3 linked regions of the Alligator mississippiensis genome follow. The protein of the gene in region 1 purifies or fractionates together with the protein of each later gene. This does not show direct contact. Links are inferred from orthologs where the notes say so. Each region holds a gene or a part of one and is shown on either strand. Other genes may lie near its edges. The genes, in order: RRP1B, LYAR and SRSF6.

What was found.
Region 2: the proteins of RRP1B (region 1) and LYAR purify together in Homo sapiens (co-immunoprecipitation; 3 studies listed by IntAct, with this or other methods). This does not show direct contact. The link is inferred for Alligator mississippiensis from reciprocal best matches to the Homo sapiens genes RRP1B and LYAR.
Region 3: the proteins of RRP1B (region 1) and SRSF6 purify together in Homo sapiens (affinity purification with mass spectrometry; 3 studies listed by BioGRID and IntAct, with this or other methods). This does not show direct contact. The link is inferred for Alligator mississippiensis from reciprocal best matches to the Homo sapiens genes RRP1B and SRSF6.

What each region holds. Positions count from the first base shown.
Region 1 is NC_081824.1:300,606,894-300,616,731, reverse strand, and holds the start of RRP1B (ribosomal RNA processing protein 1 homolog B), read right to left. Parts: upstream 4,422-9,838; 5' UTR 4,356-4,421; coding exon 4,217-4,355; intron 230-4,216; coding exon 147-229; intron 1-146. UniProt on the Homo sapiens protein: Positively regulates DNA damage-induced apoptosis by acting as a transcriptional coactivator of proapoptotic target genes of the transcriptional activator E2F1.
Region 2 is NC_081825.1:28,823,479-28,833,276, reverse strand, and holds the start of LYAR (cell growth-regulating nucleolar protein), read right to left. Parts: upstream 3,896-9,798; 5' UTR 3,796-3,895; intron 1,805-3,795; 5' UTR 1,751-1,804; coding exon 1,629-1,750; intron 1-1,628. Other genes in the region: ZBTB49 (zinc finger and BTB domain-containing protein 49), read left to right, coding at 4,885-4,887, 5,228-5,400. UniProt on the Homo sapiens protein: Plays a role in the maintenance of the appropriate processing of 47S/45S pre-rRNA to 32S/30S pre-rRNAs and their subsequent processing to produce 18S and 28S rRNAs. Also acts at the level of transcription regulation.
Region 3 is NC_081832.1:22,595,889-22,606,078, forward strand, and holds the start of SRSF6 (serine/arginine-rich splicing factor 6), read right to left. Parts: upstream 4,162-10,190; 5' UTR 4,067-4,161; coding exon 3,960-4,066; intron 3,702-3,959; coding exon 3,553-3,701; intron 2,235-3,552; coding exon 2,119-2,234; intron 1,911-2,118; coding exon 1,702-1,910; intron 1,317-1,701; coding exon 1,227-1,316; intron 1,091-1,226; coding exon 727-1,090; 3' UTR 1-726. UniProt on the Homo sapiens protein: Plays a role in constitutive splicing and modulates the selection of alternative splice sites. Plays a role in the alternative splicing of MAPT/Tau exon 10. Binds to alternative exons of TNC pre-mRNA and promotes the expression of alternatively spliced TNC.

The sequences.
Region 1 (9,838 bases):
CCCGCTTGCTCATGCTTACCACATTTCCTTCATAAGCACATGTCCTTATAATGTTATTTTTCCCTGAACAAAATGAAAAGGCGTTGTGCCCTCATCACACATTCTCGAAGGATGTCTATTTATATACACAAAGCTGATTTCCATACCTGTAGCAGAGGTTTATCTTGCATCCACATACAGTAGAATAGCCCTTTCCATATTTTTAAGAGTTCTTCTTGGCTGAAGCCACCTAAAGTGTAAAAACCAAAAATTATGCACAAAAACCCTTACATTTCCACCAAATGCTTAAAAACAGATTTCTCATTTTTCATTCCTCCCTCTTTCAGTATTGTCCTTTCCTTTGGAGCAAACATTCCAATTTTGAATGAAGTCAAAGTTAGCACCGCTACTCTGTTTATGAAAACTTTGGTTAATGCAGTGGTCTCATACCTTTAAGCTTCTGACTTGTTACTGTACCATATACTTTATGATACAAGGCTCATAGAGTATCAGAGGAAGTCACACACAAGAAAAGCCTGTTTGGTCATTCTGATTCATCCCCCTGCCAATAGGGTGCAATTCCCTATGGCATTTCTTTCTAGTACCCATTCCAAAAAATAATTTGAATGACAGCATATCTAATTCTGTGGGGAAAGCCCGGTTGCAAACCTGGGGAAAAAAGGTGGGTGAGCAATGCTTTTAACAGAAGTTTCACTTCACCACTGGTCAAGAAATACCTTCAGTAAGATAAAGATAACGTGAGTCCCTGTTTATAATCAGTGCAGATGCTTCTTCTTGTGTTGTCAAGCCACATAATTAAGTAAAACAAATGCATTGTAATTACAATTAAACTTAAGGTACATTATTAATACTATCTGAATTGTTCAAAATTATTTCAGTTGTAATAAGAATTCAAGGGTTTCCAAATTATAACGTGTCACTTTTCTTCAAGTCCTAGTACAGTAAAAGCTCTGTTATCTGGCATCCCCTGCGAATGGGGATATTAACAAAAATATGCACAAAAAGTGGCCCCAGCTGCCACTTCTCCCACCACATCTGGGGCGTCCCTCCGCCACTCCTGTGGCATCGCTGCCCCTCCAGCGGGCCACGCAGGACAGGGAGGTGGGCCCCGCACAGGCCTGCACAGCTTGTTATGCCCCCAGGCTGTGGGGGCTGGGCAGACCAAGCTGCTTTGCCCCAAGCCATGGGGCCTCAGAGAAACTGGAAGTGCCCACCGTGGGCACTTCTGGTTTCACTTTATCTTACAAGCTGCCAAGCCGGTTAGTGGAGCATGCCAGCTTGTAAGATCCCAGATAACAGAACTTCTACTGTATTAGTAAACCCACTTTGAAAACTTACATATTTTAGGATCTGTTAAAAGTGACAATAAAAACTGTGATCAGACCTATTGTAGAAGGGTGAAAGAGGTTTAAAATATCCTTATGATGCTAAAACATGTAACGCTAGCATGTGATGCTAACATATAATACATGTAATAACCTTGGTATTACAAACTAATAATCTGCATCAGTCTGTACACCAAGTAAAACATCAAAATATGTTTTGCTTGCTCACCCAGTACTATTTTTAATGTAGAAAAGAAAGAAGAGAACATTCAAACTGGTATATCTATGCTTCCCAAACTTTTGATACCTGAGGAACACTTTCCTTCTGGATTAAAACTGAGGGTGCACTCCACTCTTACATCCAAAAAGGTGTATGTATATGTACTAGTATATGAAAGACATACATAATGATGCCTGATATTTTGGTCCTGTGGGCCGAATCAGCAGTGTTAGGTCAGCCGGTAGGCTCGATCCTGTTGCATAGGGCTGGTGCAGCTGGGACCTATGCATGCCATGTGGTGCTTAGAAATTTGGCAGCGGAAGAGTAATGACAATGTTAATTGCCACCACTCCCCCACAACCAAATTTCTGGATGCATGGAAAGCCCTGAAGGCTATATGATATTGTCCTGTGGGCCAGATCTGGTACTATGTAGTATTTTTGCAGCACATTTTCCCTGCTCTCACTACTGTGCCACAGTACACCCTCAAAGAAGTGTCAGCCCCAGAATAAGAGGACCATGCTACAGATCAATATGTTCGTGCTGTATCCAGTTTAACTACTGAACCATGTTTTGAGAAAAAGATGAAGGCTTGGTTTGTTTGTTGGAGGGGTTGTTTTTACTATTATTATATACTGGTAATTACATTTTAGCTAGTATACAGCTGCAAGAGCAAGTACCTTCACTGCCTTCTCTAAATCTTGGAAAATATTAACTAATCCTAACAACTATAAATGAGATGCGACTATCGAGCCAACATGCCTTTAGGACAATTCCTGTTAGCCTAGCATATCTTCTGAAGTTCAAACACATACAAGACTAGAAAGTGGGTGTTTAAATAAGTTACCCTGTTTTAGGCTGTGCATGGATCTCAACATAGCAGTTTCAGGTTTCCAGCAACTTCCCTGAAACAAGCTTTCCCATCTCATGGATATTGTCAGTGGTGGAATAGATACTCGGGGCCTCATTCTACTCTGCTTCACCCCAGTATTAACTGCACCAGAATCAATAGTTTCTGCAGCTGTGGCAACAGGAAGCAAGCTGGACTGTAAACACAACTCTGGAATTATGATTGATGCCTCCAAAATGCCTACTACAGATGATGTCATGTTTTAAATGGGTCAGGGGGAATTGTTCCATAGATAAAAGGACACTAACTTTCATAGCCTTCTAAAAAATATTTCATAAAGGCAACACTTTGCATGCAATGTCATCAGTATCTAATACTCTTTTTCTTACAGCAGATATTTTCACTTGATTTGTTCTCAAACTGGACATACACACTGTTAGGGATCCTATAACAACAGGCCTGTCTTAGATAACAGGAAACTAATAACCGTGTAGGTACTATGCAACATTTTGGTTAAAGTGCATACCAACTGCTAAGTACAAAAGATAAATAAATGGTCATAACTATGGCCTGGTGTATGTACATGAGGGGTGGAGAGGATTGGGGGAAAATCTTGTATTGGTCTAGTTCCAGACAATGAAGGCAAATGCGCTATACCCGTGGTTTACCCCAGTGAGTTACTAAAGGCAAGTTACATCATTGTATTAGGAACTTGTGCTACTATAACCTCACTGTAATTCCAATGATAAAACAGTCTGCCTACTCTATATACAAAAAAGGAAGGAAAATAAACCTCCTTTTGGGTCTAAAGACCTTACTGGTTCTTGCACTATTCCCTGCTTAGTATTTAAACTGGGCTTGAAACCTATAATCTCTCAAAAACTATCATCAATTTTGGAGCATCCACTGTATGTGCAGGCCCCTGTGGCTAGATGGGGTCTGGATCACTCACCTTTAATGACTTCAAGTAATTAACAAAAGGCCTATCTTAGACTAGAGGCAATGGATAATCTTGTAGGCACCATGCAACGTTTTGGTTAAAGTACATATAGTAGTAATTTCCGAACTGTGGGCCATGACCCCAAATGGGGTCGCAACATCAGCAGATGGGGTCGTAGGGGTGGGAGGCTGTGGGTTGGGAGTGAGGGGCCATGCTGAGGAAATGGGGCCACAAATGGGGTCATGCTGAGGAAAAGTTTGGGAAGCACTGGCATACAGATTGTTAAGTATGACAGATAAATGGTTGTACTACGGTCTAGTGTATGTGTACAGGAGGTAGAAGGGGTTGAGGGGAACACTTGCACTGGTCTAGTTCCATACAACGAAGGCAGACATGCTATATCCATGGTTCCCCGATATACCTGATGCCAGACAAACATGGTTAAATTGCAGACAGACTGCTCTTCGCAGCTGGTAACAACCACCTCCACATTTGCCCAGCTATTGCAGGGAAAAAACCAGGTCCCTCCCTCAGTGAAAGGTAATTTAACAGGAGCAAGAAAGGCCCACTCAGCCAAGTCTGGGCCAGAGCAGGAGAGACTTCCAACTCTCCCCTGAGCAGCAGGAGCTGCAGCAGCATCTCTCCTTGCCCTCCTGTTCCACAGCCCACGTGCAGATCGCAGCTGGTCCCACTGACCCACGTGTCTCCTATACCCTGCCCCCCCCATTTCTTGCGGGTGATGCTCTCAGGGCACATCCGCTTACTCCTCCATGCCCAGCCTTTACACCCAGGGTGCCCACAGCACCCTCCACCCCAGCCCGGCACAGATACCCAGCACCACGTGCCCGCCTCCCCCACCACGTGTCTACCCCCGCCCTCACCCGCCGGGCTCTGGGTCCTGACGCTGATGTAACCCCGCAGCTTCTTCACGGCGCGGTCCCGGACCCGCTTCTCGTTGGCGGCCAGTCTCTGCGCGAACTGGATCTCGGGCGGCGGCGGCACGGCGGCGGCGGGAGCCATGGTGCCCGCTCCCCCACGCCCCGCGGCTCCGCCCCACGCCCGCTGCCGCTGCTCGACCGCCCCGGATGGAGCCGCCGCCGCGTTCCATCGAACGCCGCCTGATGACGTCACAAGCGCCCTCTGTCGCACAAGTTGCCGGTTCCGGCAGCCTGCGTTCTACTCGGGCCCGGCTTGCCAGGGGAACGATCCTTAGGTAATCATTGGACAATCGTTTCCACCCTCGTACGACCAACAGTAGGAAAAGGAATCAGAACCCGTGGTGGAGGTGATATCTTTTATTAGACCAACTACATTTGTGCAAAATAATTTCTTTAATTTTGAGTGTAAGAATTTTTTTTTTGTAATTTGCAAAAATCTAGTTGGTCTAACAAAAGATATCACCTCTACCACGAGTTCTGATTTCTTTTGCTTCTTGACCAATACGGCTACAACCTGGATACCTGATAATAGTAGGAAAAGCATTCCAAACGCACAATCATTTTTGAGGCAGCTCCTGGATGCAGCATAGGCAAAACCCAAACTATGGCATTTGTACAATAATTTTAATCTTTGTACTGTCAATACTAAAAACCTTCAAAATGCATGATCATTTTTGAGACAGTTCCTTGATGCAACATAGGCAAAACCCAAACTACAACGTGTACAATTATTTTAATCCTTGTACAATCAACAGTATTAAAAGCCTTCAAAATGCACAATCATTTTTAAGGCAGCTCATTGATGCAGCACAGGCAAAACTCAAACTATAGGGGTATAGGTTGTTGGTCTAAGGACATAGGCAGACAGGGTTCTTCGGGTAAACCTGATATCTTTCATTAGACCAGCTCAAATAGTTGGAAAAAATTTTCTTTGCAAGCTTTCAGGTACAAACACCCTTTGTCAGGCTGCAGTGGGAGAAAACTCCCTGGGGTTCATTGTCTAGCTGCATAGAAACCAGACAACCACGGGTAAAGTTTTACTGCAGTATATTTGCTCGAGCAATGACCATTAAGCCAGCAAAGAGGCAAAATGGCCCCCCCTAAACGGTGGGGCGATCTTTTATACTTTTTACAATAAGGCAAGACTACAGGGTTAACAAAAGCAATACTTGGGCAGTGCTTTACAAATCTTTATAACAGCATATTTCTATTAAGATGAACTAGCACTTTTTAAAAGCTAAAAGTTAAGTAACAGTAACATTATGATACGTTAGCAAGAACTTGCAGTGGTAGATACTTCTTAAGGACAGGATCACTGTACTTAGAACAATGGCTTCTTTGTCTTATCTTGTTCCTTGCTGTAGCTGATTTTACAGCACACAGAGACAGATTCACTTGCTGCATTTTACTCAGAAAATGCTTAACACAGTTAAAATGATTACTTGACACAAGCAAAGGCTTAGCTATCATTCTGCCTTGTGGTCAGCGGCATTGCTAGGCCACAGGTCATGCCTTGTATTCAGCTGCAAAGCTAATACTTCTTAATAATCCAAATTATTGTTAACCTAACAGTATGCTATCAGAAAACTATTCTATTTCAGGGTAATAACAAACATGCTCACTACAAGGCTGAGGAAGCAGCTGCAGTGGGTATGCGCTCTTCCTAGATGGAATGAATAGCAAAGAGTAAAAGTAAACTCAAACTATGGCATTTGTACACTATACAATCATACAACCTTATATGATCCATAATAGTAGAAGCCATCAACATGCATGATCATTTTTGAGGCAGCTGATTGGTACAACATATGAAAAACTCAAGTCACTCTCGGAATCTTAACCAACTTTGGGGTTTGCTGCCAATGAGCACTTTCTTATGATGGCTTGCCTTGAAATCAAGAAATGCTTCAACTTTGATGACCCACTTCTCGCTCACTGGAGTTACAGTAAGCAATATAAAGTAAATAAGACTTATTTGCATACTTGGTGCATAGGTTTTTCAGTGTACAATAGTTTTTCAGCAAATACGATAATTTTGAGCTTCCAATACAGTAATTTCAATTTAAGACCTGGCAACACTGAAAAGCATGGCGGAAGGACAAGGCTGGAGGTTCAGGAGCCTGGTGGCAGCCATTACTACCCTCCCCAGGCTGCATCTAGGAGCAAAGCACCAGCCACAGTGCAATGATTTCCCCTGAAAACCTGGGCTCTTATGTAGCAGCCGTGCCTAGAGTGCCCATGCATGGTTGCACCATGCTTTTTGCTTGCTTAAAAGACCCCCGCCCTTTGCCAAGTTCACTCAACACCCGCACCTTACCACTTGAAACCCTGCCTCAGGGGTGAAAAGAGTATTACCAATTTGCAAACTGAATCATAGAAAATGAGTGTTGGAAGGGACCTCAAGAAGTCATCTAGTGAAGTCCAATGTTTCCCAACGTCTTCCTGGGATGGAAGGTCTTTCAGTTACTTCCTTGTTATAGTTCTTTTGAGTGAAAGGTGTTTATTGGTGAGAGGAAAAAGAGTGATGAGTTTTTTGGGAGCACCACAGACCTGTATGAGAGTGGGGTGCAGACTTGAAAGGGACACTGGGAGAGAATGGAGAGATCTTCCTTGGGTGTGAGGCAAGGGAACTAAGAGTGGATGGGAATGGAGTGGGGAAAGCAGGAAGTGTTTTATTGTACCTAAATGTGACTGGGGTTTGGAAGAGTTGGGAAGTATGGTAGGGATTGCCTGAAGGATTTGCTTTTATGGGCAATAGGCAGGAATGTGGGGGGTGCGGTAGAATTTTAAAGTTTTTCTATTTTCTAGGGAGCTTAGTCTTGTTTCTTAGCTGTTGGTGGCTTGTAATTTCTTGCAAGTCACCCCAAGACTTTCTGGATGGGGTACATGTAGTACTCACAGGGGTCTGCCCCAGTTGCTGCTGCCTTCTCAACCCTGGTTCACCTCCTATTGCTCACCTGCCATGACTTCAGTGTTGGTTGTTATTGTTGGGGAGGGGATCCCTGAGGGTCAGTAATCACTCTGTGGGGTAGGCTGATCTGTCCACCCCAACCAGCTATACCTGGGACTTTCTGACCTCTCTCAGTAAAGAGGGGGGGTGCACCCCATTTAGGTTCTGGGCACTTGCTGGGGTCTCAGCTGTCACAGACTCAGCCCTCTTTCTCTGTGGCTACACCCTCTACCTGAGCATGCTGTTCAAAGCCTCAGCCTCCAGGTTCAGTCCTCCCTCTATAACAATCCCCTTCTTAGGATCCACTTGCACCTTAATCATCTCTGCCCCTGTCTCAGGGCCTGAACACTGGTGCTTATTGCAGGAAGGCACCCTAAAGCACCCCCAACTATGGCCTCCTCCTCCCCTTACAGCCATAATCCAGTTCTCCACTGGATCTAATCAAAATGTAAACATCAGCCCAAAAGCTGTGAAACAAAAACCCCTCCCAACTCTAGGTTAATACTTCCCTGCAAGCTGCTAATTCCCCTTGGCCTCTTCTTCACAGCTCTCTGGGACTGCTTAGACACCAATCAGCCCACCTTACACAGGACCACTTCACCTTGCTGCCTACAGGCCCAAATCAACCTTTTCAACTCAGGGACTGGTTTATATTCCTCATCTTCAACCCAGCTCACTTCCTGATTGTCCCTTTTGTTCGTCTATCTCTAGTGCCAAGTGCAGCTAATTGCCTTATTAGCTGCCTGATCCCTGGCCGTTTACCTATTCAACCTCTCCTGGTAACAGGGGCAGGGGTTCCCTTTTGCAATAGGATATACATCTTAATACTAACAGGAACACAGTTGTCACCATCTCTGTGACCAACTCTGACCAGCATTGCCAACATCCTTGGACATGCAGAAATATTATTATTCTCATTTCAAATAAGGATGTTAGAAATCAAGAAGTATATGGATCCATGCTGGTGGAAGCCTTTGCCTCCCACCTAGCACTCTTCACTCACAAAGCATACTTTACAGGGTCAGAGCCTGGCTTTAGCTAGAAGTCCCATAAAGCTGAACCTAGATTTTCTAAGCTTCTGTGCATTTTCTTAACCATAACCTCATCTGTCCTATCTGGAAACTATATTTTTTGGTTTTGCTTCTAAGTTTTGTTTTATTTTAGTTTAAATCACTGCCTGGGGGCAAAGTGGGATTTTCATATAGGATTACAATGTTACAATAAGAAGAGCCTGTCTTGATATATTTTTCTATTTTAAGAATGTCTAACGAGATATTCAGACTATAAAATCCAAAAGATGCAGTTCATAATGTCCATCATAATAAAGACTAAAACTTACAAAAACAGTGGGACCACCTAATTTGTTCTCCATTTTACTTTTGAATAGCAGATAAAACTATAATTTTTCCTTTCTTTCTTTTTCTAGTTCCAGATATTATAGCATGCACTTATATAAGAGTCTATGAATAAGGAAATGTAAATATTCAAAGCATTTTGTAGAAATTAATGTGGGTATTTTGGCATGATGGGAGGCCAATATTGCATATTTGTCTGCTCAGAATTGACCCTGGCCAAGGGAAACTCAGGGACTTGGTCAGCAGGATATCTTGGGAGATGAGCCTGAGGGCAAAAGGAGTCCAGAAGAGCTGGCTACACTTCGTTAAGGCTTTTTTAAGGTTGTAGGAGCAAGCAATCCCAATGTGACAGAAGAATGGGAAGTGTAAGAAGAAACCAGCCTGGCTAGACAGAGAGCTCTTCAAGGAGCTGAAATTCAAAAAGGAATTCTATTAAAAGTGGAAACTCGGCCATATTATTAGGGAAGACTAAGAGAGTATTGCATGGGCATGCAGGGTGAAAATTAGGAAGGCCAAGGCACAATTCGAGATGCAGCAGGCAAGGGACATAAAAGGCAATAGAAAAGTATTCTACAGGCACGTCAAAAGTAAAAGGAAGACCAGAGATTCTATATCTCCCTTAAAGAATGCAGAAGGCAATCTAGTCACAGTCAATGTGGAGAAGGCCAAGTATTTAATGTATTTTACTTCATTTTTCATACATAGGGGCAGCTACCAGATGACAAGTGCAGTTGGCAGCAGAGATAGGGAAGGAGACAACCAGCCTATAGTAATGGCAAAACAGACTAGGGATTATTTACAGAAGCTAGATGCTTTCAAGTTGGCAGGGCCAGGATGGGATGCACCTGAGGTTACTGAAGGCATTGGCTAAGGTAATTTGAGAGCCAATGGCTATTTTCCTTGAAAACTTGTGAAGGTTGGGTGAGGTCCCAGATGACTGGAAAGAGGCAAGTATAGTGCCAATTTTTCAAAAAGGGAAGGAGGAGGATCTGGGGAACTATAGCTATCAGCCTGAACTCAATACCTGGAAAATTCGTGAAGCAGGTCCTCAAGGAATCTACTGTAAGATGCCTAAAGAAGAACAAGGTGGTCAAGAACCATCAGCATGGATTCACCAAGAGCGAGTCATGCCTGACCAATCTGATTTCTTTCTATGATACAGTGACAGGATCTGTGAATGAGGGGAGAGCAGTGGGCATGGTGACTGTAGCAAGGCTATTTAGCACTGATGAGGCCTCACTTGGAGTACCATGTTCAGCT
Region 2 (9,798 bases), on another chromosome or scaffold:
ATGTGGTATGCATATTTATTCTCAATAAAGCCTGCTAGAAAAGTGTTTGCATTTTTTATTCTTCTGCACATTTAAAAATTCTAAATATTTATAGAGTAGCATTCACAATAAAGATATGTTCTCAAGTTAGAATAATAGCTTAAGAATAATTACATATAAAAAAATTCTAAATTAGATTTTTTTAAACAAGGTTTGGTCTAGGTAGTCTCCTGATCAAGTTAAAATACTTAAAAGGGGGCTTGAAAATGTAAACCATTGGAGTGGTGAACTTACTGATATGGACCTACCATTATTCCACTTCCTTAGTCCCGTTGTTACTTTTATCTAATTTTTACTTTTAAAACTGGAAAGCAGACTGCAATGGCATTTTTTTCAGAGATCTGGATATTTACAAGAAGAGCTGTAACTTTGGAATTACAGGATTTCATAGCAATTCTCCAGTAACCACAGCATCCAACAGTTTGCCCCAATAAAAAGATATAAATACTAAAACTAATAAAGGAAAAGGAAAATCTAAAAATTACAACTGTTTCTCACCATACAGAGATAAAAGTTTTTGCCATCACTAGGGTAAACAAAAGAAAAAGACAGTAACAAAGTGAAGAGAGGGTTCCCTTGCCCAGAAGGAATGACTAGAATGTGTAGATACATGATATTAATGTGCCTGAATAAACTCTGGCGCAGTTTGCACTGGAGTCAGCTGCTCCCAGGCACAAAGTCTTCATGTGCACTGCAGCAATTAGAGCCAGGGCAGTCTCAGACATATGTGAAGATTCTGAGCCCGGGGACAGCTGACCTGGAGCAGGAGGTCTGGGGGTCAGCCCCAGGCTCTGGAGGGGCTGGACACTGTAGCACCTGCATGCCCCAGCCAGCCCTGGTCACAGTCTACACGTTTGAGTGCACGCAAGTACTCTGCCATAGTACAGTGGAACCCAGAGGTGGGCAAAATGTGGCCCGGGGGCTGGATGTGGCCCACCAGGCCATTTTATCCGGCCTGTGGGGCCCCTAAAAAAATTTAGAAAATTAATATTTATCTGCTCCTGGCTGCCTATCATGCAGCCCTTGGTGGTTTGCCAAAACTCAGTAAGCGGCCCTCTGTCCAAAATAATTGCCCGCCCCTGGCATAACCTCATAAATCTGGCATACTCAGGACTGAGCACCTGCCAGAAATTTGAAAATTCCATTTTTTTGAAACTGGAGTGGCGGTTGCTGCTCTGGCTTCAAAAAAATGGAAATTTCCGGCAGTTGCTGTACTTCTGTTGAGCAGTACTAGCCTATCACAGAATTAATTAGTTTTCTGTACCCTAATATAGGCACACGTGTAGACTGTGATGCTTTACTCAGGAGTTAGCGTAAATGTGCCCACTGTCACTAATCCACTCCAGCCTGTAAAAGGGGAAGGTGCTATTGTCTCTTTCAAGTTCCCAGCTTTGGATCCTCTTGCCCACAAATTGGTATCAATGATTGCTTGTGCTGTAACTCTTACCCTGCCCAAAGTACAGCATGCAATTAATGCTATATTTGCACTCAGGATGCTAAAGTAGAAGAGTAAAGAGTAAAGCTACCTAAAGCATCTCCTGCTGCTGCTACCAAGCAGGTATTGTCAAACAAATACTTCATTTACCTACCAGAAATCTTTGCCACAATCCATACAAGAAAGGCACTGACACCTTCTGCAAATATTTACATGTTTTTCAACTTGTCCTTTCTTCACAGATTCTCCACATGCATTGCATGTGAAGACTACCATTTTGGATCCAAATAGCTTCTTCTCAAAGGCAGTTACAGTAAAATCTTCAAAACGCTAGAGAAAAAATGTATCATCTGAATTATTTAGGAAAAATATTTTAAAAACCCACACAAATGTATTGTATATTGATTAACCTATCATTTTCAAACCTATGAAACATTTATTATGAGCAAGCATTGCCAGTTATTTGCTGCTCTACATAATTCTCATTTTTATTTCTAGTTTATTTCTAAGTGGGTACAAGACACCTTAATGTACAGTGGACCGGTCTACTGTGCATTAGTACCTCATGGCAAAAACCATGCTAATGCGCAGAACTCATCTACTGCGCATTAAGCATCATAAAAAAACATTCGTCTTTGCTACTGCACATTAGTGCAGCTACTATGCCTTTATCTAGTACCTCATATCAGAGGTATTAAACTTAACGCGCTGTAGCAACGGCATATTAACGAACATGTAGACATGTTCCAGTGATGTGATGTGAACTAACTCTAAAGACGTAGTTTCAAATAGAAAACTGCAACAAGCGTATAACCTTGAAGTTACCAATGATTCAGTTTTTGCTTCTCTCTATGCATCAAGGTGCCTATATCTGTATAGTCTCCCTTTATAACGTTTCTCAAATACGTCTTTCCTCTCCAAGGCTGAGTCTGCCTGTAATCTAGAGGAGTTACCTAGGTTAGCTCACTATCTACACACTGGTATCCCCAACTCTCCCTCTCCAGTCTTCCTTTTCTGCCAGTATTATCTCTTTCTGAACACATATCACTAGATCACTTTTCTGCATGAAAATCAAACTCTTTTTATTCAAATTTAAGGCTCTGTTCTCTGCTCGCTTGTTCATGCACTGTTCTTCACCTTCTCATTTTAATGTTTTCTTCCCCCTCACTCTTGCCCCCATGCCTTTTTCCCCATGCTCCCAATAGCTAGCACATCAGTCTTCCCAAAGGTCCTACATCCTCAGTCCAATTCAGCTCCCTCCTCCAGGACCCCTTTCTTCCACGTGTTCCCTGAAATTACTGTTAGCTCTGCCTGCTGCTGAACTAGTCCCTCCTGACAGCAACCAGACTTGCACGATGCATTACTTATCTGCGACTTGCTCCCATCCTGCTTTCCTTGCCTATACTGGTGGTTTAACGTTTCTGTGGTTTCGACCCAGAATGGTTTTGGGGGTAAAGAGCTGCGTCTTTTAACGAGATACCCAGGTCTGTGGAAAGTGTGTGTCTGCTACACAAATGCGCATCAAGTCACAATTAGAGGTGCAGACAGAAGTGACAATTTTCACCTGATCTGGCCACAAAAAGCAGTTCGTAGTTGTGACCAAACACAGGTGCACGGCTGCAAGACTGTGTGAAAATCTGACCCCTCATTGCACGAGGTATCAAGTAAAGATATTGCAAAATGTAGTGACTTTTGTAACTTGCCTCTGCACAGCTCCCAGCATATCCGTTTTCAGAATGGGAAAGGAAGCAGAGAGTTTGGTCCTGGGGGGTTTTAACCCTCCTCTGGAGGCTGGGTGAGGTGTATTGCAGCCCCCCTGAAGTGGAGGGGGCCGCAATTTACTCACCCCACCTTTCAGCACCAGCTGGGGGAGCTCACTCCTCTGCTTTTCCCCCTCCCGGTCTGAAAACATGGAGCAGGGTCATTGCAATGGGAACCCAGCTGCAGGCTCCCAGCCCCCAGCAGGACGCTCCTTCCTCCTGAAACCAACAGCAAACTTGTGTTTGGTCCAGTGTAACGCTGTAGCTCAGGAAGTTTTGCAGAAATCCTTCTGAGCTACAGCTGGGAGCTGCACGTCTGTCCGCACCTACAAAAACGACTGAGCTCAGACCTGGTCGGCAGCTGGAACAACCCAGCACGGGCCTGTCTCTACTGCTTCCCTCCAAGGCACGAGTCCGATCCGCCTCAAAACCCTGCCCTTCATTCCCACGTGCTGGGATGGGCCATGGACCACCTCCCGCGCGGGCCCATGCCAGGAGCGGCCGGGCGGGCAGGGCGAAAGCCGGGCAAGAGAGAGGCTGGGCCCGCGGCTCTCAGCGTACCTGCTCCCGGGTCCTGCGGCGCGAGCGGCCAATCGCGCACTCAGCGGCGCCGACACACGTGCGAAGCTCCGACGGCCGCTCTCAACTCCCGGCGCGCGCCAACGACTCCCCGCCGGGCGGAAGCGGAAGTGGAAGCGCCGGGGCCGGAAGTGCGCGGAGGGGCCGGGGCCGAGCCCGAGGCGGGGATGGGGTAGAGCGGCGGTTGGAGCCGGTGAGGCGGGAGGTGTTGCGTGGGGGGGAGCTCCCGGGGCCTCGGATTCCAATACCCGGGGCTGGGACTGCCGCAGCCCTGGGCCTGGCCGCTCGTGCCCCTCGGCCTGCGCTGGCTGCCTCCGCCCCGCGGCGCCGTCTCCCACGCTTCCCTAAGGAGCTGGAAACAGGCTTAGTAGCGTTGGGCGAAGGCGGGCCTGCCCCGCCCTGGCTGTAACCGCCGTGAGAGCGCAACGGCTGATGGCTTGGGACAAATCCGGTGGAAACGGGGTGTCTTGTTCCCCTAGGGCGAGAGGGGCAGGGCCGGGAGAGCTCGTGTCACAGCGTCGGGCCTCCGACACGTGGCACATAAGGGACCTGTCTCCCCGGGAAATGGCAGCGCTGTGCGATGCGGACAGATGTCCTTAGGAGTCACCTGAGTTTGGTTAATACAGGGTAGACCTGGGAACAATTTCTAGTGGTTGGGGAAAACCGCTTTGCTGGCACATTGGTTATGTGTAAACTTCGCAGTTTCTTTCCCAGTGGGAAGATCTTGGCTTTACCCCCCGCTTTATGGAAACAGGAGACTCCTTCCTAGCTTGCTCCTGTGGCCATGTGATGAAATTCGGGGGCATCCGAACCCCAAGTCTCTGGGCTTGGGCTTGTACGTAGGATGTCCACCAAATCTTTAGGAAACACCTGAATTCCCAGGTGGGGATGGAGGATGTTTTTTGCCAGCAGTAGGGCCACATATGGTTCTTGACCGCCTCATGAATTTGGAATTGATTTGGTTGATTTGGCTTGGGATATGAAAACTTTTTCTAAAAAAAGAAAGAGAAGCTCTTCTTGTGTTAAGTTAAGGCATCAAGACCTTTTTCAAAACGTGCCTCACTAAGATTCATGGTATGTCTTTCTGATAAAATCTAATTTGTATGCCTGTTCAAATCATGCGTGGTTACAATCCCATCTACTTTGTAGTATACCTTGGGCAGATGCTCACTGTTAGGAAATACTGATTTTTAATAAACATGTTGATGTCTGTAGTACGCTCTTAGTGACTAAAAATTCTCCTTAAGTTGCCTACATGTCATGCTAAATTATGAGGAGCTCTGTTGCACTGGGGAGAGAGAAACTAATCATTGCATTGCATTGCATTATACCTTTTAACCTATTTTTAAACTTGGTCTGCAGGAAGATGTAAGCTGCATTTCTCTTAAGTATTTTTTGTCTTGTTTTGTTGTAGGTAATTAAATGGTGCTCTAGCATGGATGCTGTTGCTAGCCATAGTTGTCATCTTCTCCAGCAGCTACATGAACAGCGTATTCAAGGGCTTCTGTGTGACTGCATGTTGGTGGTAAAAGGAGTCTGCTTCAAAGCACATAAAAACGTATTAGCTGCTTTCAGTCAGTATTTCAGGTACTCCAACCTTTACTGAAGCAATAAACAGGGTACCATAAGTTGATGTTTGAGGAAAGAATTTTTCTGCTGGCTACTAAATAGTAATGTTGATACCTTATCACAGTTTTAAGGGAAAAACTAGGGGGTCTTAGATTGCTTGCTTGCACCTAATCTGCATTTTGTATTTGCTTTAATTAAAATGTGCATCATTCCAATTTATTTTGTAGCTGATCATAATTAGGTGTTACCATGTTTTTTCATGTCCAGTGCATCCTGGCATATAATACAAACCTTGTTTTTGACAGGTAGAATGAAGAGAGAGAGATCTTTCCTTATAGTAGGTAACTGAATAGCAGTAGTTAGGGAGCTGAGCTTGTTCATTGTTCTGCTCCCTGTGCATTACAAATTTTACTTTGTTTCACTTGGTAAGGGGCAAAAACTGCTCTTACTATAGTTCCTTTGTCTAGGGCACACTCTGGTTTCTAGCAAGCATTTTTTTGGGGGAAAGTGCATTCTGTGTGCAGGAAATGATGGTAAAGTCTTTGAGTTGCAATCATGATTTTGGTGCTTACAGTGATTAGCATAATGAGGCTTGAGTCTCTGGCTTTGGTCTGCTGCCAGTACTGTACTGCAAGATAATGATAATGATGAGACTTCTTTTTAAAGTTCTGTGTGGGACACAGTAAGGGTGACCAGGCCAGATATGGGATTTAGTGGCTGAGGCCTCGTAAGATTATCCACTTTTGCTGTTTGTTAGTGTTAGAAAGAAAATTGATCTGGAAGCCACTTTTAAGTTTTTCAGAATTTATAGCCTAGATTTATACACTGAAATTTCTTAATCTGCAGGTCAGTTGATGCTTCCAGAACTTTTAAGTGAAATTAGAATGTGCAGTGAGCAGTAACTACATTTCAAGATAAGTTTCTAGAGGTGCACTGATGCATCAATCCAATAGGGGATTGGCACCGATATAAAGAAAATTTATCGTATCGGAAATTGGTCTGATGTGGCTAATAATTTGGGTGATAAATGCTTGTGTGTGTGTGCAGCTGTAACACAGCATGTAGGCAGCAAGGAGCACAGCCCAGCAGCTTGGAGAGCTGCATGCAGCTGGTAAATTTGGTGTGGTAGAAGGGGATGAGGGAGGGAAAGGGGTGGGGGCAGATCAAGGTCCCCGTGGTGAGGGAGCAGTGGGGTGGAGCAACTGCTGCCCAGCCAGGGTGGGTGCAAGATGGAGCCACGGCTTGTCCCAGGGGGGAGGGGATGCGGCTCCTGCTGCTGCGCACCGCTCATCTGGGAGCTGCCAGTCCAGTGCTAGTCGGGCATTTCCCACCACTTGTCGGGGGTGGGGGGACGACACACATGTGCCCCCAGATCTGCATGGGGCAGGATGGAGTAGGCTGGGGCTGGGGTTGCATGGGGCTATTCCTGGCCTGTCCCGTGCAAATGCGAGGGCACGACCCCAGCCCCCCATGCCTTCTCGGACGAGTGGTGGGAACTGCTGGACGAGCGGGTAAGTGCCAGACCAGTGGCTCCCGAACCAACAGCATACAGCGGTGGGAGGCCTCCCCCCATTGTGGCCCCAGGACAAGCTGCGGCTCCATCCCACACCTGTTTCACCCCAGCTGGGCAGTGCTTGTCCCAGCTCCAGCCCCACTCCTTCTTCGCTGCAGGGGCCTTGATTTGCCCCCCCACAACCCTTTCCTCTCCCTTTCCACCACACCAGAATTACCAGCTGCACGCAGTTCTCCAAGCTGCTGGGCTGATATTGAAAATCAGATCAGTATCTGCTGATGTGCCTCCTTAAAAATCGGCTGTTGGTATCGGCCCTAAAAATCTCTTATTGGTGTACTGCTGAAAGTTTCTTTACCTGCCATAATGATTGGGCTCTGTGTTTGCTCTTCTTCTCTTCTTGCATCATCTTCAAAATGAATATGACAAATTTACATAAAATAATAACTGGGAGAAGATAGATTTAATAAGTAAATAAGGGAAAGGAAAGCTGAGATCCAAATATTTTCTGTTGTTAGAGAAATGCTGTTATAAGCTCTGAGATTTTCAAAGTAGTTGAAAGGAGTTAGGCATCCATCCCATTTTGAAATGCAATGGGACTTAGATATCTGATTCCTTTAGCGGGTTTTCAAAAGACTAGCCCAAATAAATGAAAAATATTTGCAATAAACTTAGGCAGTGTGGATTAGTTAGGCAGTGTGGATTAGACCGAACAGGATTTAGGCACCATGGTACCTAACTTTATGGCTGCCTGGCCCCCAGACTATCCTAGAACCCTTAGTTAGGTGCTTGGTTTCTATACAGTGCACAAGGAGAGTTAATGCCTTTGCAGTCATCCAAAGAAACCCTGCAGTATCTGGGAGTTAGCCAGAGCTAGCAAATAGAAGACGTTTTGAATGGGCGCATTATGAAGCCTCTCCAGAGCTTAAGCACTTGTTAAGCGCTCCAGGTAGGTGCCTCCATCTGTTTGTAATTCAGAGTCCAGGACACTCTTCTGAGGGTAAACACAAATGTTTTTTCAAGGAACTGAAAAATATTTACTGTTTTGTTTTTAAAATGCAGTTGCTAGAGAAGAAAATGGTGATTGTATTGAAACCTTACAATGGTATCACTTAATGATTCAAACTCTTTCCAAGAAAGTGGAAAACTTAGGTTCAATACCTTCTTTAACTTAAGAGGGCTCCAACCCACATTTCCCATCTCCAGGAGACTGGCCTAACCCATGCTTTAAATCCAGTACTCCTACCTCCTATGACAGTGTCCTAACCAGCAGGGTACTGGAGAGAGGAGGCATAGGTTTAAACTACCTCACGACTGAAGGCGCTGAAGCCTGTTCTCTGCTTCCTGTGTGAGTATTATAACTACTAGGCCAGGGATGTCAAATTCATGAGGCCCTGTTGGCACACAGGACTGGTCTGACATGTGCCATGTGTGGCGTAGAAGTCCAGTTTAAGACCCATAGGCAACACTGTGGGCCAAACGACAGGTTTCTGTGCGCTGGATCCAGCCAGTGGGCTGTATCTTTGACACCTCTGTACTAGGCTACTTCACAGAACAGGCAGTATCAACTTTTATTTCTCCTTTGGCTGTGTTTTATAAGAAAGTGGTTACAACTGCATTTGATAAGGGACCATATTCTGCTGGTAGGTTTTCTTGAAGCATGCCAAACTAAACTGGATTCAAACAGAGGGAAGCCTAGTTCCTGAATCCCCATAGAGTTTAGATGGGAGGCTGCTCAGGCTGGGGCTATTTTGTACAGCCACAGAAGCAGAATGTTTATTGTCACTGGAGAGGTGTCCAGTGAGATTAGGAGCAGATAAGTGGGGATTTTTGAATCATAGTGCTTGATTTAAGCAGAACTGAGGCTCCTAAATTCTTTATGGGATCTAGTCTTATGCAATGAAATGATGCACAGCCTATAGATGTGGCCAGAACTTGAAAAAAAATTGTCAGGTAGACAAGGGAATGACCTAAGCAGGGTAAGTTTCAGTAAGGTTCATTGGGAGTGTGTGATGGAGAAGCTCAGTCAGTTCCTTTAAAGGGTAACATGCTAGCATTCTTAACAAAGTAGGCTCTGTTTGTCACTTTGTTTTGTAATAGTGTTATAGATCTGTAACCTACTTTGCTCACTCTCCCTGATTCGATTTGGCTGAATCTGAAGATTCGGCCATAGACACAGCTTTAAATGTTTTTCTACATACCTCGAGGTACCAGGCACGGCTTGTGAATGCTGCAGTGGTGGGGCAGATGGAGCATCCCACAGGAGTGCAGGGGGACCCCCTGCGTGCTTGGTGGCAAACCCAGGAGTGGACCGGAAGTATTTTTGGTCCACTTCTGGGTCTGCAGGGGGCCCCCATGTGCCCCCTAGCTTGGCGATTGGCCACGGGGGGACCCCAGGTATCCCCCCAGACCCAGGGAGCACCAGTTGCCAAGCTGGAGGGGGACTGGACGGGGACCCCCTGTGCGCTCCCTGGTGGACCTGGAAGTGGACCAGAAGTGCTTCTGGTCCACTTCTGGGTCTGCTGCTGAGCGCGCTGGGGAGCCTCTTGCACTCCATCTGCCCCAGTATTGCAGCATTCACAAGCCGCCTGGTACTTCAAGGTACGTAGACAGAACATTTAAAGCTGTGTCTATGTCTGAATTTCCGAATATTTCTGAATCTCTCCAAATCGATTCAAAAGGTTCCGATTCGATTCAAAGAGATTAAAGGGTCTCCTGATTTGATTCGGTTTTGGAGATTCGGCCGCTGAATTGGGTCGAATCTCAGCCAAATTTGAATTGGGGACCGAAGCTTCGCACAGCCCTAGAGTCTACCCAGCACTATGCATAACCCATTAATACAATAATCAGGCCAATGTTCTAAGCATGAGAGAGGGGTAATTATAAGGCTGGGTGGGATATTCAGA
Region 3 (10,190 bases), on another chromosome or scaffold:
CTAGGATTTTAGGCAATACTGCATCATGCAAGGCTACAGAGTAGTACCTTTATTAGCTTTTAATACAGTCAGAGTAGTTGGGGAAGGGGAAAGGAAGAGGAGAGACATGAAGCTTACTTTTGGCGAGTTAAGATACAGCACAAGTGCTTCCAACTTGAGTTTATTGCTGGTCTGAAATTTGCCTAGTTATTATATATTAACTGTATGTACAGTTCCCACTTTGCTTCCACAAACTGAAATAGCCAAGGCATCTACACTGACCAGTTCAACAATGCTTTTGTGTCTTTGATAGCAAGACGTAACCTTTTATACTACTAAGGCCCGTAATTTTAAGAGTGAAAAATTAGGAAAAAAAAAAAATGACGTTCTCAAAAAAGCCTGAATTTAAGCGTCTTATGCTTAAGAGTTTATTTTAATATAAAACCCACTTTCCTCTTAACAGCAGTCAAATTATTTCTGCTGAAATGCTAAAAATCAAAAGTTTAACTTTATTTTTCTAGAAAAAGGGGACTCTCTTCCTGCTCTTACCACCATTTCCACACCACCTCATCTTTTCACCAAATTTAGATACAAATCAAACCTTTATGCCTCATTACTTGGTTCTCAGGCCATTCCTTTCTGCAAAAGAAGGAACCAACTTCTGAAGGACTAACATAAAAGACTAATGGCCTGGCAAGTAGGAAAATGTTCCATAATAGTGTGCAAAGTAAGAGGAGAGTTCTAGTCTTAATCTCTTGAACTAGATCTTGATCGTGAGCGAGACTTTGAATGAGATCTGGAGTGGGACCTTGATGCAGCTCTTTTGGATGGTGACTCTGAACGAGCCTTGACAGAGGCTTGCTGCTGTGGCGAGTTGGAACGAGACCTACTCCTTGATCTGGATTTAGACTTAGCATCTCCTTTACCATTTTCTTTGGGAGAGCGAGACATGGACCTAGACCTGCTGCGAGACTTCTCAGATTTTGCCTTGGATCTGCTGCGGGAGCGGGAACCCCGGTCAGACTTAGGTTTAGATTTGCTCTTTGATCTTGACTTCCTGCTTTTAGATCTGGAACGCGAACGATCTTTGCTCCGTGACCTGGATTTAGATCTTGAAGAGAACAAAATATTTGATAGGAACTGAAAAAAATTACTCATGTCAGTTTTACATACAGTCACACTTACCAAGGAAGGGTCACAATTTCTAATTTAACAGAAATAGCCAATAAATAATGTACGTTACTCACCGTGACCGGCTTTTAGAGACACTACGGGATCGGCTGCGGCTACTCCTGCTCCTGCGACTCCTGCTTCGCGACCTTCTTCTAGAGCGTGACCTGACAATGTTTCAAAGTGCCCTTGTGAAACTCTAAACATCCACAGATGTTTACAACAATTTCTTGGGCTGGGACAGGGAGACGCACACAAAGGCAGGCAAGTCACAGATCAACCTACAGTAAGAATACCATCTGACACTGAACTACTTATGATGTTTCAGAAGGTAAACTGTCTTTCCTGAAATACACCTGATCACTTACGTAATGTTTTATCATAGAAAGCTATTCCCCTCCACATCCTAACAATCATCTTATCTGCAAGATGTAATCTAATTAAAAGGAAATGATTACTCTCTCAAGTTTAGACTAAATATAATAGACTCTTCTCCTACTGCTAGCAGGAGACTTTTGCTATAAAGATCAATCAAATATTTCAAAAGGTTACCTTGACCGGCTGCCAGAGTAAGATCGCCTATGGCTTGAACGTGGCTTGTCCTCAACCAGCCTTATCTTCCTGCCATTTATCTCTGTGCCATCCAATTTGTCCAGGGCACGCTTCATATCTGAGTAAGATCGAAATTCTATTACCCCTTCATTTGTGCGTTCTTTATGAGCATCTGCATAGGTTACTTCACCAGCTTGCCTCATGAAATCCTTCAGAGAACAGATGAAGAGTTACATAAGCATTTCATGCTTCTGGAATGTAACATGCCTAAACAAAGGTAAAAAACTCACCAAGAGTGTCAACAGACACGAATGAATAAGTTCCAAATGACTTTCCCAAATCATGAATATTCACAATAAAATGGAAGTATTGTGACCAAGCAGGAAGCTAGACTAACATTGTCACATTAGTACGTACTTTCAAATCCTGCCAACTACAGCGACTGGAAAGGTTTTCAACAATCAGTCTGTATTCTGTACGCACAGGTGGTCCATATTTATCTCTTCCCGATTGTCTGCGACTGCTATATCCACCTTTATTGTGCAAAGAAAACAAGTCAGACTCTCTCATAGTGTGAAGAAAACAAAAAGTTCTGAAAAAGTTAGTTAAATACAGATTACATTTACTGGAGTAGGACTTTATCTTTCTAAGCCTCCAACAAAGTTGCAATTTTGCCATAATCTATATTAATGGCAAATCAAAGAGACTAAAATCCTACAAGTCTGTGCTCCTAAGATCTGTTAGAGAGTGACTGCTCCTTTATTAGATTTACCTTGCTAAGTTTTATTTTACAGAACATTGTAAAATATAAAACTTAACTGATTACATGCATTTCTACATTTTACAAAAACGTTACTAATTACACTAAGTACTTACATCACAGTATGAGGTTTTTGGTGGTGGTTTGGCCACAAAACACGCAAGGTTAACAGTCACCTAGTTCAGTTTAACCAGTTTTGTCTAACCCTTGGAATCCTCACCATCACCCTGCGTCTAATGGCAAAAGGCTGCTGTCGTCATGGCTTCCGGTAAGGTCAGCCAAAGGGTCATAGGGCAAGGGTCACACAATGTATGGAAAAGCCATGGCCAATCAGGAAAGGCAGTCATCTTAGCCTCAGTGGACACAGCCTCAGCCCCACTGGTCACTTTTAAATTGAAACATCAAGGACTTGTTAAAAAGTTTGAATTGAACATGCAACAAGTTTAAAACACAACATACATTTGAATTTGCAAAACACTTGTAATACAAAGATCCCCGCCCACCCAGCAATGAGCCTCTCAGATTTTTCTGAGACAAGGCTTCGTGCTTTTAAAGCACAGCACCAGGCCAATTCAACTCCACTCAGCTCATCAACTTAAAACGAGCTCAGGGTACAAAAAGCCTTCGCAAGCCGCTTCTCCCCCTCACTGCAAGCTCACGTGCCTCAGCAAGCCCCTCCCCCTGGCTACGTTCTGCGTAATCAGCAGAAACATCCCGTAAGTCTGCTTCCAGTGACCCCCAGGACTTCACCCCCACCCTCCATCAGGGATGCACCATCACCCCTGCCACCAAAGGGTCCCAAGTCAGTACAATAAGGGAGAGGTGCTGTTGACAAGCATCCTCCTTAAGGAGGCCTTGTCAGCTTGGCAAATCCCGCCCCCCTCCCTACCGTTAGAAGACACCCACAGTGCACCACTTGGTGTGAAGCCCCACTACAGCCGCGCACTAGGGAGCCCCCAACAGCTCTGAGCCCCTCGCCCGGGGAGGCTCCCCCGCCCCCCGGGCCAGGCACGCAACCACCCCCCAGTCAGACCCGAGCAGGCGCCCGTGGCCCCCGCGCCTGAGCCGAGGGAAGCCGGAGCTGCACTCACTGCGGCTGCTGTAGCTGTATCCGTCGCGGTCCCGGCGGGGGCCTCGGGCGTGCTCCACGATCACCCGCTCCCCGCACAGGTCCTTGCCGTTCAGCTCGTAAACGGCATCGTCCGCGTCGCGCGAGTCCTCGAACTCCACGAAGCCGTACCTGGGGGGCAGCGCCGTCAGCCCGGCCTCACATCGCATCGCATCGCATCGCCCCGCCCGGCCCGGCCCCGGCGGGGACAAAGGCAGCGACTGCCACGGCACCCCCTCCCGCCCCGTCGCCGCCATTTTGAAGCGGGCGCCACGCGGCAGACGCCAGCCCCGCTCGGGCCGCGGCCGCGCAGCAGGGCCAGGCACGGGCCGAGGCGGGCGGAAGGGCCACCCCGCGCCGCCCCCGCAGTAGGCCGCGGCGCCGCCTCACCCGTTTTTGAGATCGACCTCGAGCAGGCGGCCGTAGCCGCTGAAGAAGCGCTGGATGTCCTTCTCCCGCACGTGGTAGCTGAGGCGCCCGATGTAGACACGCGGCATGGCTGCGAGCGGGGCCGGGGACCGCCGGGAGGTCGGTGCTGCCAGGCCGCGCTCGCCGCCTGCGGCCTGCTCCGCACCACAATGGCGCCGGTCGCCCGCGCAGGCCTTTATACCGGGGGGCGGGGCATGTGACGTCACCGCGGAGAACGTGAGCGGCGGCATGACGCTTCCAGGGGCGGCTGGGACGGAGGAAGAAGCGCTCTCTGTGCAGGCGTGACGGCGCATACCTAGTAGCACGACGAGCGCTGTTGCGCCAGCGCAGGGCTCTCCACGCGTTCCCACAGCTCCTTTTGCGCCTGCGCAGGGCAGACCCGGCTGGGAGAGGGCGGGAAGGGCACTGAGCGCAAGCTCCAGTGTCCGTCGCGCCCGGCCACCTGTGCTGGAAGATGAACGGCGGATGCCTGGGGGCACGGGCATGCAGCGCGCAGGCGCTTTAGAGAGGGAAACGTCCCTAGTCTGCTCGGGGACTGCAACCAGCACAGCTGTGGCTGCTGCCCCCATGCATGATACGTGACCAGATTCCAGGTGGGGTTCGCCTCCATTTGAAGCAACATAGCGTAGCCCTCCTGCTAGGATGTCAACCTGCCTGAGTGAGCACTATTATCTCATCCTAAAAAATGCCATTGCTCCTTTTGCAAAGATGTCCATGACCCCGGATAAACAATTCCTGGGCATCCTTCCTGCGATGGAGTTTTAATTCTGTAGTTGCCCAAATAAAACATTTTTAAATAGTTGCCCAAATAAAACATTTTTAAAAATAGCCCTTGTTGGTGGCTCCGGCCACTCTGCTTCCACGCTTCAAAAATTCCATCGAGAAACTGAGATGCTGCCTTTTCTCCAGCAGCATTTTAAGCATTAGAACCACTTTTTTCCTCCTACTCTGAGATTTACCAGCTCTGTCCCTATGAAGAGTAAACCCAGATGCTACTAATGCTCCATTATGATCTCCTGGGACTGTTAGCACCACTAATATAACCCGCCAGAGACTCCAACAATTGCCTTCAAGTTTTCATGACGTTACTCAGCTCTCAGTTAATGTATAACAAGCCAGTTGCTCAGTTTGTTTCAGAGAAATGGAAATCTCTGGGACTAAATTTTTATTTTTATAAACTGTTCCTTCCTCACTTAGTGCATGATTTAAAAGTCTCAGATGATTTTAGCAATTGTCTCAACATGTTTCTCTCTCAATGGAAAAACCTGTACATATGAAGATTTGAAGGTGGTATTTTTTTAATACTATGTCACTCAGAAACACTTTGATATACAGGATAATTTAGTTCCCAGCCTGAGAAGGGTGTGTCTGAGTTTCTCAGCAGCTGCTGCTGAGAAACTCAGAAAGATATACTTCAGTCTGTCATCCTTTAGGTCGTTGAAATTTAATAACTCATAAAGTCACTAGATCAACCTTAAACTGCACACACATTGAAATATATAGCAATATAACACTCCACAGCCCTCCTCAAAGTCACGGGTGCAGTAGTCTACATAATATTGTAGAAGCGGCTCTCAGAATAATTTCCTGTTCAGCAGCAAATATATTGGCACAAAGTTGCTGCCCAGGAAACAGCTCTTTGAGAATTTGTTGCTCTGCATCTACATACCATCCTTGGAGCAAGTGATTTACCCAAGTGCTTAGAGAAAACCAATTTTGAGGCAATGGAAAAAGGACAGGACAATACTATTCCCTGGCACTGCTGCTCCCTGTAGCGGTTAATAAGTGCCATTGCAACAGGTGGCCCTAATAGTTTTCCTGGCATGTTTTTGTAAGTGAACTGTACCACAGCAGCCTCTGAGCCTGGGAGGCATAATCATAGAATGCGAGAACTTTAGGGTTAGAAGGGATCTCAGGAGGTCATCTAGTCCAACCGCCTGCTCAAAGCGGGACCATCCCCAACTAGATCATCCCAGCCAAGGCTTTGCCTAACCAGGTCATAAAAACTTCCAAGGACAGAGATTCCACAACCTCTGGGGAATCTTTTCCAGTGTTTTACCAACCTCCTAGTGAGAAAGTTTTTCCTAATATCTAACCTAAACTTCACTTGCTGCAACTTGAGACCATTATTCCTTGTTCTGCCATCTGCCACCACTGAGAACAGCTCAGTGATGGGGGACGGGGTCCCCTGCAGCCAATCTCATTGACCGGGGGGGGAGGGGAGTCACGCTGTGGCCAATCTTGCCAACCAGAGGGTCCCCCCATGGTCAATCTCACTCACCGGCTTCTGGAAGTGGCTTTGGCAATTCCAGAAGTGGCCACAGCGCTCCCACTCCCCAGCCAGCGCTTGCAGTGGGGGCACCGGTGCTTCTGCTGCCCCCCCCGCCCTTCGCCTAAGCGGGGAGCGCTGCCTGTCAGGGGGTGCACCCGCACTCTCAGGGGGTGCACATACACCCTGTGCACCCCCTACACATCGCCACTGAGGCAGAGTACTCTAGATGTGGCCACAGCAGTGCCAAATAGAGGAGAATAATCACTTCCCTCCATCTGCTGTCAACACTCCTACTAATGCAGCCCAGTATGCCGTTAGCTTTCTTCGCCACAAGCGCACACTGTTGGCTCATATTCAGCTTATAGTCCACTGTAACCCCCAAGGTCTTTTTCTGCAGACCTGCTGCTAGGCCAGTGAGTCTCCAGCCTTTACTGGTGCATGTGATTACTCCATCCTAAGTGCAGGACTTTGCACTTCTCCTTATTGCATTTCATAATATTTCTTTTGGTCCAATCCTCCAACTTGTCCAGGTCTCTCTGAATCCTAGCTGTACCCTCTGGTGTATCCACTGTTCCCTGCAACTTGGTGTCATCTGCAAACTTTGCGACGGTGCACTCCATCCCATCTACCAGATTGCTAATGAAGATATGCAATAAAACCAGTCCTAAGACTGACCCCTGGGGCACTCTGCCGGCTGCCAGCTTGACATTGAGCCATTGATCACTACCCATTGAGCCCAACGATTCAGCCAGCTTTCTATCAATATTACAGTCCATTCATCCAACCTGTACTTCCTTAGCATGCTTGAATGTTGTAGGAGACCATATCAAAAGTCTTGCTAAAGTGAAGGTATATCACATCCACTACTCTTCTTAGAAGACAATTAGGTTGGTCAGGCATGATTTGCCCTTGGTGAATCCATGCTGTCTGTGCCTAATCACCTTCTTCTTCTCCAAGGGCTTAGAAATACATTCCTTGAGAACCTGCTCCATGATTTTTCCTGGGACTGAGGTGAGGCTGACCAGTCTGTAGTTCCCCGGACCTTCCTTCTTTCCTTTCTTAAAGATGGGCACTATAGCTGCCCTTTTACAATCATCTGGAACCTCTCCTAGTCACTGCAAGTTTTCGAAGATAATGGCCACCAGTGCTGCAATCACATCAGCCAACTCCTTCACCACCCTTGGGTGCATTGCGTCTTGCCCCACGGACTTGTACACATCCAGCTTTTTTAAATAGTCCATAACCTGTTCTTTCGCCACTGTTCACTATTCACCTCCTCCCCAAACTGTGCTGCCCACTGCAGTAGTCTGGATGCTGACTGAGGAGAAAAAGGCATTGAGTACTTCAGCTTTTTCCACACCATCTGTCACAAGGATGCTTCCCCCATTCAGTAAGAGAATCTTGCTTCCCCTGATGTTTCTCTTGTTGCTGACATACTTGCTGAAACTCTTCTCATTTCCCTTCACAACCCTTGCTAGCTGGAATTCCAATTGTGCTTTGGCCTTCCTGATTTCATCCCTGCATGCCCAAGCAATGCTCTTATACTTCTTCTTAGTTGTTTGTCCAAGTTTCCACTTCCTGTAAGCTTCCTTTTCATGTTTTAGCTCACTGAAGAGTTCCCTGCTAAGTAAAGCTGGTCTTCTGCCATACTTGCTAGTCTTCCTGCACATTGGGATGGTTTATTCCTGCACCCTATGTTTCTTTGAAGTAAAGCCAGGTCTTCTGGACTCCTCTCCTGCTCAGACTGGCCTCCCAGGGATCATGTCCATCAGTTCCCTGAGGGAGTCAAAGTCTGCTTTTCCGAATTCCAGGGTTCGCACTCTCTCCTTCCTTCCTTCCTTTCCTCAGGATCCTGAATTCAATCATCTCGTGGTGGCTGCTGCCCAAGTTGCCATCTACTATTGCATTTCCCACTAATTCTTCCCTGTTTGTAAGCAGCAGGTCAAGAACACAGCCCCTAGTTGACTGCTCCAGCACTTGCATCAGGAAGTTGTACCCAACACTCTCCAACAACCTAGATTGCCTGTGAACTGCTGTATTGCCCTACCACATGAAAACCAGGGCCTGTGATCAGGAAACTTGCACTAGCTGTTAGAAGAAAGCCTCATCCACCTCATCCTCCTGGTCTGGTGGTCTATAGCAGAAATGCCTGACCCCTGGCAGGAAAGGTGATGTCACTACATCACCATCCCTTGTTGCTCCCCCCTCTGACCCTAACCCAGAGGCTTTCAACAGGCCTATCTCCAGTTTCATACTAGAGCTCTGAGCAATGAAACAGCTCTTTTATATATTGCACAACTCCTCCTTTTCTCCCCTGCCTGCCCTTCCTGAACAGTTCGTACCCATCCATGACACTACTCCAGTCATGCGAGCTATCCCACCAAGTCTTTGTTATTCCTGTAATCTGGGTGGTACTTAGACAAGGTACCCCCTCTCCAGTTGATGGGATTTTAATGAGTGCTAGTACGCTGTGGGAGGGGTAGCCACTTCCCTCCTATCTGCTATAGAGTAGTGCCAAGACCAGTTGGAACTTAACCATATACGGGTTTAATAGGGAAAGAACCAGGTTAAGATATGACACACATGTGGGAAGGGCAATGGGTGTAGGAGAGCAAGAGGAGATTGCCCAGTAAAGATAATGTACACATATACAGAGGAAAATCAACAAGTTTGGGGTGCAAGTCTTCACAAAATATAAGGTACAGGCACCCCAGAAAGGCAGGGGGGAAGGTGAGGAAAACCTTTCTACCCACTGGTAAGTCCCTCTCCCTAACAAATCACCCTTTCCATGCCTTAGCCAGGGATCAAACCCAAGTCTACCACAGAGCAGACAAGAACTCTGTCACCAAGCTATCAATGCCTGTGCTGCTGCCTACAGGTCTAGGCTCTCAACCCTTCAGGATCCTCCACATGCTGTCTGCATGCCAAGCTACCCGGCCTCACACTGGAGGTCGGAAAACCTGAGCTGCTGCCTGCAGGCTTGGGGCTTTGGCTCCCACGCCACTCCCTGCCTGCACACCGAGCTCCTGGCCTCCCTGCCGGGGGTCAGATTCCTGAGCCACTGCCTGTGGCTTGGGTCCTTAGCAGGGGATCCACCATGCACCACTTGTGTGCTGAGCAGCAGGAGCTCTGAGCTGCTGCCGCCTGCAGCTCCAATCCTTAGTCAAGCCACCTCCTGCAGCTCCCAGGCTCTGGGGCAACCGATCCACCCTGCTGGCCAGCTCCTGCCAGCTCTTCTGGACTTCTCTCCTTTGTCCCTCGTTGTCCTCTCTCCCACCTTCCCCCCCAGCCAGGGCTAGGTGCGCTGCCCCTTTTATCCCCATGCAGGTGGCTGGTGGGACCTATCAGGTGACACAAGAGGTGAGCCTCCTCTCAGGTCCGGTTTCCCTACCTGACCCCTGGGTGAGGGGGGCAAGTCTTCTGCTTTTCCAGGGCCTGATTGGTGGGGAAAACGAAATCCCCGCCACCAATCATTTTTTAACTTTTCAAAACCTCCGGGCCAAGCCACCACCAGCCCATGCTCCTGTCTGAGCCCACTTACAACATTAACCCTGGCCACCACACACAGCTTCCTCACAGGGCGACTCCCAGTGCGACTGTAGCTGTGGGGCTCCAGCTCCTGACTGCCTTCTGCCCAGGCCACCTGCCAATGCAATAAGCAGCCACCTGCAGGTAGCTGAGTGGGTAGAAGATGACTGGGAGCTAGAGCCCCACCTGGTGGAACAGAAGCTGCCCAGCTGTAGCTTCCCCCTGCCTGTCTGGGTATGTGGTATCTGGCCTGCATCCCCTTTCCTGCCCTACCTGCTATACAGAGTGGTGCAGCAGGGGCAGGAGGAGGAACTGCTGGAGATGGGGGGAGCCAAGTAGTACCCAGGTGGCTGCAGCCTCACCAGGAGCAGCCCTGCCAGGAAGCTGTGCAT